2 linked regions of the Oryzias latipes genome follow. The protein of the gene in region 1 binds, or shares a complex with, the protein of each later gene. Links are inferred from orthologs where the notes say so. Each region holds a gene or a part of one and is shown in the gene's direction. Other genes may lie near its edges.

Region 1 (4,132 bases):
CTTCTTGAGGAAAAATGGTGAAACCGAGTTCTTGATCTGTGCAGGCTTTGGCAGAGAGAACGGCCAGGTGACCATCGAGTACTACTCCCAGCTGAAGACGGTGGTGGTGGAAACAGGCGATGTGGAAAACTACTTCTAGAGTTTCCGTTTTACACTCATTTCAGAGCAATAAACGAAACTGTGCAGACCTGTTGAATGTGGATGTCCTATTTGAACTTTTCTGGAGTGTCTTTTATTAACTCTTAAGTGTGTATGAACAGCTGGCATGATTCTTCAGGCTAATTTATTTTGTCACGTTGGACATTTGCTCATGCAAACATTATCTGAACTCTGATCCTGAAGTAAAAATAGCAGTTGCATATAGAGTTTACACTGCTAGAAACATTGATCCATCTTCTAAACCACCTTTATTCATGTATATAAAAAAAAAGTATGCTGGGTGTCCTAGAGCCCACCCAGCTACTGAAAGGCAAAGGTGGGATACACCCTGGGCAGTTCACCAGACCACTGCTGGGTCAAATGGTGTTAGGATTCAGTCTAAGAGACACTTTTGAGGTCTTAGGTCAGAGAGCTCTTCTCCAAGGTTGCACCAAACAATCAGGTCTCTGTTTTTATAAGGCTTGTATTTTAGTCTGATGCCTGGACCGGTGAATGTTAATAATAAAGCCGAACTAAATAGATAATGTTGATGACTCATAAACTTGAAAAGAACTGATTTTGTAATGGTTGGCCAAGATTCTGGGACATTTGGAGCTTCCACTAAAGATAACCAGAACAATATACAGCTTGTTACAGAAGACCCATGATCACACACAGAAACAAAAACACTAAACATATCATTTGTTTTTAATAAATACCAGGAAGACTAAATTGTTTCTGCTCTGAGCTTTTATCTCTGTCTCCCTGTAAGCTGCACCTTCTCTGTGCTTCCTTCACAACTGTCTGCAGGACTCATCCTCTGATTCTGCTCTCAGCTCTTCAATTTCACTTTGGTTGCTGCAATTTCTCATTTTTTTTTAGTCAACACCATCGTTGATTCTCTATTTTAAAAAAGTCAGTATAGACTGGATTAATGACTCTGACGGGACAGTTCTAGTACATTATTTTGGCCTGGAACAGAGAATTTGGACGAAAGAAAACAATATTAAAGGGTGCAAAACCCTCAGAAACAAATATTTATTGAACAATAAATAAAAAAAGAAAAGAAAAAAACAAGAGGATGGGTGGTATGGGTACCTGCTGTAGCCACAAGGGAGCACAAACACACCGTCAGATTTGACCAGAGAAGAAGAAGCATCTCTTTTTTTTGGAAAGCGCAAAGCGGAAGTACAACCTAGAAGACTTCCGGGTCGCTGACAGATCAACAATGCAAGTGAGTCTGAAATAATTTCACTCGGTTGTCTGTGATTCTTCTGACCTACTGTGGACGATACTTTGGACTGATGCTAGCTCGGGCGCTGTGTAATCTGTCCGGGCCTCTCTGCTCGTCCTTTTTGTGTTTCAGCAGCGGGAGGAGAAGCAGCTGGAGACGGCGGTGGAGTCTCTCATCTCCCGGGTGGCTCACGTTAAAAACGCCCTGAGCAGCTTCATCTACAAGCTGGAGAATGAGTACGAACGTCTGACATGGTGGGTCCTCCTGCCCTTATGACGTAACGTATCCCCCCTCCTTTGATTATGATAAATAAAAGCCTGGAAACATGCGAAGTTAACAAGTGAGTGCATATCGTGCGTGTGCATGTGTGCGCGAGCGCACTTAGACTATAAATCTTTGTTGATCCCACAAAAGGGGAAATTACCTTGTTGTTGCCATAGCTCCAATAAAACATCAGATATATATTAATAACACTAAAAATACACTTAAACAATTAACAGCAATCATTTTTGTCCAATGTCTATAAGGCATTGCAGAGTCTAATAGCTGACGGGAAGAAAGATCTGGGAAAGTGCTCCTTCCTGCAACAAGGTGTAAAGGAGCTGCTCAGTACACCCATACAAAGGATGATGATGATGATGAAGAAGAGGAGTGTCCATGATGGAGTTCAGTTTCTGTAACATTTTACTCTCACCCACCACAGTTACCGATTCTAGGAGACATCCCAGAACGTAGCCGGATCTCCGCTCCAGTTTGTTGATCCTCTTCTTGTTCCTGTTTGTGCATTCACACCTCCAGCAGCTCAAACCATAGAAGAGGGCAGACGCAACAATGCCATCATTAAAAAGAGTCCTGAAAACTCAGGAGAACCCCAGTCTCCTCAGTATCTCCTGCGATCTGGGATTGCTTCTCCAGCGGCATGTTGTTGTTGCCAAGCAACAACAGCTGACCGTGTAGACGATGTACCCACAGACCGCTTCAGACCCAGAAAGTGGGGGATAAATAGTCCAAAGGACTAGCAGGCACGCCACTGCACTTGTGTAAAAAACAACAATTCTGTCAAAAAACAGAATAATAATTAGAGAAAAAAAAAAACGAAACTAAAGAAAAACAAGCAAGCCAACACAGATCTATGGTAACTGCCAGCTTGTTGTAGCATTGGTGTCTGTATTTGCGTGCGTGTATTTGTACGTGTGCATGCGTCTTTTAGAAAGTGTTTGTGTCTCCATGTTTACCTGCAAAAGTTTTCTCACCCCCCTCTCAAATCTTTCCTGTCCCTCAGGCCATCTGTTTTGGACAACTTTGCTCTCCTCTCGGGTCAGCTGAACACCATCAACAAGCTGCTGAGGAACGAGAAGACCCCAGCTTTCCGGAGTCAGGTCATCATCCCGCTGCTCCTGTCTCCTGACCGGGATGAGGATTTAGCTGTGAGTGTCGCCGCAACATTTGCAGGCTGTCCTGTGTGGTGAAAGACCTCTAACTATCCTGTCCACCCCCACACCCCCCTCAGAAACTCACAGAGCAACGCGTCCCGGTGTTCAGTCACGAGATTGTGCCAGATCACTTGAGGACCAAGCCTGACCCCGAGGTGGAAGAGCAGGAGAAGCAGCTGAGTGCAGAGGCGGTCAGGATTGGTCCTGAGTTGGCTCAGGTCAGGAGGCGCATGGATGTTTGTTATCTGTTGTCTGTGCTCAGAAGGTGTTTAGTGTTTGTCTGTGCTAATCCACAGAAGCATATCCAGGCTCTGAACAAGCTGTGTTCCAACCTTCTGGAGAAGCTGAACAACCCTCGAGAGGACAGAGAGGGAGATGCTTCTGGTGGGTCGCTCGTTTGTGTAAATCCCTTGTTGTCCTTATTGTAGAAAGAGCTGAGTGTGTTTATCTTCCAGCAGTGCGGCAGAACAAAGCGTCCTTCAACCCCACAGACACCAGTGCCTTGGTAGCAGCTGTGGCTTTTGGGAAGGGACTCTCCAAGTGTAGACCTCCTGGCCCTGTGGCCCCTGGCCACCCAGGGCAGGGGCCCATGATGAGCGGAGGTCCAACGTTACAGCAGGTCACTATTGGTGGCGGGTCAAACCAGCAAGCAGGTATGGGAGGGCCTGGGGCCCCCCAGCAGCAAGGTCAGCCAGGTAGGAAACTGTACTGGTAAAATGTATTAAGTTTTTTGTATTGGAGACACATTTTTATTTCTTTATTTTTGTCCAGGAAAAATGCCAAGCAGCATCAAGACAAACATCAAGTCTGCATCGGGTTCCATTCACCCTTACAACCGGTGATCTCCCCCGCCCGCCTCTTTACTGCTCAGATGCAGGAACATCAGTCTGTTACTGGGTCCACCTTCACGTCCCCCTTTGAAGCTCTCTATACAGCCACTAGGTGGCAGCATGGGATCCTTTATGGCTAAATCTTAACAGCACAATGACATGTTTTCAATAAAACCCAGAAAAGCAGCTTGGTTTGTGTGGCCTTTATTATACAAGTGTCTTTCTCTTGTTTCTGCACTGAAACGACGTGAAAAAACCTGAGCTCCGCTCTTCTGAGTCTGTGTTGCAGCGCTGAGCCTGATGGGGGTGGACGTTGTGTCACAACTTTTAAGGGAGAACGCGAGGAACTATTGCTGTTGACAATGGTGGTGGTGGGGGTTTTATTCCTGTCTGAGTGTTGGCCCTCTGTCTGCTCTGATCCTGTCTGGCTGTATGACCTACATCCACCCTCCGTTCCTTAACTCAGAGTTGAACAAAGACACATTTGTGCTCACAAA
Region 2 (4,165 bases), on another chromosome or scaffold:
CCTGTTTGTGTGTGTGTGTGTGTGTGTGTGTGTGTGTTTGTGTATGCACGTATGTGTGTGTTGTGTACATATGTATCTTCCTGTTTTTTACAAACCTGTTGCTAACTCCTTTTACTTGTTGATAATAAAACTTTATCACTCAAACATGTAAAGAGTGTTATTTTATGGTCCACATTCAAATCCTTTAGGTCAGGGGTGCTCATTATGTCGATCACGAAGGATGGAACTGTAGATTGCAGGTCATCAAAAATAAGAAATAAATATCAAAATATATTTTTTAAAAATCTGTCAGTGAATCATCATCCTCGGCAGGAAAGATGTCACTTGATTGACATGCAGAACAGCCAATTGAACGTCCTCTGAAGCATACGTCACTGTGTTTAACTACAGCGAGTGCACTTTCTTATTTCTTTCTTCCTGCTGCACACAAATACATCAAACTCAAGGCCCCAACTGACAGTGTGTTCAGTGAATGTCTCAGGCAACGGAGAGGGATGCAGTGCTAGAGGACAAATCCTCATGGGAGGACAAACCGGACCATAACTGAAGCTGCTGATATCAAGAAGTGCTACCAATGGCTAGAAAGGGCTGGCCTACAGGACAGCACTGAAGCACTCATCCTGGCAGCCCAGGAACAAACCCTGAACACCAGAGCAATGGAGGCTCAGATCTACCACACCAGACAAGACCCAAGGTGTAGGCTGTGCAAAGAGGCGCCTGAAACAATCCAGCACATAACTGCAGGGTGTAAGATGCTGGCAGGAAAAGCACAGCCTAGTAAGATTGTGGAGCGCCACAATCACACATGGGCCACAATCATACATACATACATGGAGCGCCACAATCATTCATACAGCAATCATACGGCCAGATGCTGAACTACAAGATCAGAAATCCTATGAATCAAGTGTGAAACATTTTGATTACCTAAAGTTTTTGCATATTCTCATATTTTTCAGTGTTCAGAGAAAAACATTAACATCAGACTGGATGAAAAATAACAAAACATTTTCCGTTTACTGCTTTTTGATCATTTAATTTCTGTGTTTTTCCAATAAATAACAAAGACTCAAATAAACATGGACGTTTTTTATTCACTGTTCAAATTATTTCTGTTTCATGATGACATTTAATGTTTATTTCTTCAGACTTCAAACACTATATAACCAAAAGTATGATTAACAAGTATTTTTTATTTGTGTTGGGTATTTTCTGTCTCAGTTTTTGTTGTCCGTGTGCTGAACAACAAAGTTTTGTTGCAAAAGAAAAAAAGCCGTAAAGTAGATAGCAGGTGTCGCAAAGTCGGAAGTGGTTTTGCCCGAGTAGTTCACTTACGGCTGATGAAAGCTAAACAAAAGCAGCTGGACTGAAGATTTGTTAAACATTTAAACACATATAAGGATTTTCTGCTCTTTCTGGAAGCCCTGCTCAGTTTGTGGACAGTAAATAGTTACTGTTCGGGTCGATACCATGGAAACAGGTTTGTAGCTAAACCTATTTTTGTTAGCTTTGGTTCTTCTAAGTCTAACTATATGGGAGGATGATGAATGTCTTCATTATTCTTGTGTTTTTATTTGACATTTGAGAAACTGTGTATTTCTAACTTTTGTAAAAGACTTAAAGCTGTGTTGATGCTTTTATTAACCTGAGTTCGTGCGTACAACAAGCCGAAAATTTTTCGTAAATAATAAATTAATAATGTCGGCGATTAACGCGGGGATTTTTTCGCTGTAGTCCGTAAAATAAGTAATATGACATTTATGAGAAAGTTTAAAAAGATAGAATATGAAGCTCGTCCATCTTGACACATTTTTCATAAAGAAGCCAAAGTAAACCCCGACATACTAGTACAGGTCGCTTGAGCAGGAATAAGTAAGATCTTCAGACTGCATATAATTCATAATTTCAAAAACGTTGGGCTAATTTTAGCAAACTGCTAACTCTCTTTAACCAATAAATAAACCAAAGACCGACATAAGGACAACACACTAGTTCACGTGGGTTTAATAAAGCTCTATCAGGTTTGAATAACTTTGTAAATGTGAGATTTTATCAGACATACTACCTTAACTACCCCATTAACTCAATGATTCACCGGGGACAGTGGTCTCCAGCTCCATATCGGTACCACTCTTCCTTTTTTCTGTTAATCAGGTGTTTATGAAGGTTTTATTTTGAAAAACGACGTCCACTGCTCCACATCTGTCTGTGACGCTTGATGTTTGCCTCAGTCAGGCATTTTACCCACCTTCAGCTGCTAACGCACATTACTACAACGCTAAATAAAAACCCTCATTCTATTGAATATTACACAAACAAGCGTCAGGCCCTCTTAAAGGTTTCTCTGGGCAGAAAGCACCGTCAGTGAGGAAAAGGAAGAGATAGACACAACCGGGACACAGGGGTCAACGAATCAGTCACTGGGGGGTTTGGTTGGCCATCAAAGGACTCCAGCGAGGAGGATGTAAATCTCTAGCTCAGCACCAGTTGGACAGAACTGAAGAAACTGCTCGGGTGAGAGGCGAAACGTCTTCAAACCAGAAACTTTGTCCAGTTGAATACTTTTGGAACTTTTCATTTTATCATGACCTGAATGACTGAGATTCCACCCCAACATGGAACCAGGAGTTCTACTCAAAACATAGATTTCTGGTGACAGTTGTTCCCGCACTCACTGTGCGGTGACTGACCCTCTAAGGTTTTCAGGACACTGCTAGTAAAATTGTGTACTGGTTGAACTCACATTTACTTTAGTCAGACGTTTTTGTCGGTCGCATCTTTTTGTTTGGTTGTATTTAGTAGCCGAACCTCAGAGGCTCGTTTGTGAAAATGTAGTCTGACAATAAACCAGTTCTTGCGTCGCGCTTATATAGTTTCTAACTTATCACCCAGTCCACTGGTCTAACACAGGAAATGTGTTTGGGGAAATAAAACTCATTTACAGTGTTAGCATAACACACGAATCATGGAAATATCAGAGCAGCAAAAAAATAATAATAATAATAACTGCAGCAGGTCGTCAGGCCCAAACTGCTTATTGTTTCAGAATTCGCAGTGTTTTTTACTTTTGTGTGATGCTGTCTTTTCTGGTCCAGATGAGCAGGCCCGGCACCGCTTCCAGGCCGAGCTGGAGTTTGTGCAGTGTTTGGCAAATCCGTACTACCTGAACTGTAAGTCTCTTCATCTTTTCTTTAACATTTGTTCTTTAACTTCCCTGAAAAGTGAAGCCAGAAACTACATTCCTTAACTGGAAGTTCGTTTGGTTGGAGGCTTGAAATCCTTCAATAATCTGAAGCCCTGCAAGGCCTCAACACGAATATTCCATGAAAACCTGTTTTTATGACTGCCCAATGAAAAGAAGGAACAAAAAGCTCTGAAAAGCCAAAAATATTACTCCAATTTTCATGTTTTTCCATATTATGTATCACATTAAAGATCAGATTCACCTATTTTACTCATTTAGTTTTTTTTTTTTTTTTTTCCTGACCTTTCTTCATTAAAGACAGAAATGTGTTTGTTTAAACTGATAAATATCCTCACTTCTGTATGTTGCTCAGTGTTGGGGTAATGGATTACAAAGTAACAAATTACTGTAATTTAATTACTTTTGTCAGTAACGGTAGAACATAACAAATTACAGCTCATATTCTGTAATGAATTACAGTTACTGGACTATAGAAACCCTTGTTACTTTGTTACTTAGATTTTGCAGGCTTTGACTTTTTCTCTGTTAATTGAAATGAAACAGAGACTAATTATAAAAAAAGACGGAATTACTGGCACATAGCAGCATGGGGGATCGGTCAAAGTACAGACATCCCCTCATTGCTGCAGTCGCTTTGCTTTCCAAACTGGCTCAAAGATGAAAAAGACAAAAAGAGATCCTGCAAGGAGTCTTGTTATCCCTGAGGAGCAGCAGGTGAGCAGCAGAGCAGAGACTCGTGTACTGATGTGTCAGTAGCAAGTGAAACAACCTTAAAGTCGGCTCTTTGGTGTGAAAGACACGACCCGGATCCTTCCTGGGAGTTGTTTTTTTTTTTAAAGTATTAATTCAGCCTTTCTTACTTTATTGTTAACTGTAAGCTACACATGACTGTGTCTCTGGTCAATATGAGATGGCGCTCGATGCACTCCGTAAAGGGGGGGGGGGTAGCTCAGGGGATTC

Evidence for each region. The genes of interacting proteins can lie anywhere in the genome.
Region 2: med8 (region 1) and med31 share a complex: the UniProt entries of both Homo sapiens proteins name them as parts of the mediator complex. The link is inferred for Oryzias latipes from reciprocal best matches to the Homo sapiens genes MED8 and MED31.

What each region holds. Positions count from the first base shown.
Region 1 is NC_019862.2:24,740,996-24,745,127, forward strand, and holds med8 (mediator of RNA polymerase II transcription subunit 8), read left to right. Parts: upstream 1-1,273; 5' UTR 1,274-1,366; coding exon 1,367-1,372; intron 1,373-1,504; coding exon 1,505-1,626; intron 1,627-2,654; coding exon 2,655-2,799; intron 2,800-2,882; coding exon 2,883-3,023; intron 3,024-3,101; coding exon 3,102-3,189; intron 3,190-3,260; coding exon 3,261-3,500; intron 3,501-3,576; coding exon 3,577-3,647; 3' UTR 3,648-3,821; downstream 3,822-4,132. UniProt on the Homo sapiens protein: Component of the Mediator complex, a coactivator involved in the regulated transcription of nearly all RNA polymerase II-dependent genes.
Region 2 is NC_019872.2:23,702,693-23,706,857, forward strand, and holds the start of med31 (mediator of RNA polymerase II transcription subunit 31), read left to right. Parts: upstream 1-1,287; 5' UTR 1,288-1,470; coding exon 1,471-1,480; intron 1,481-3,095; coding exon 3,096-3,170; intron 3,171-4,165. UniProt on the Homo sapiens protein: Component of the Mediator complex, a coactivator involved in the regulated transcription of nearly all RNA polymerase II-dependent genes.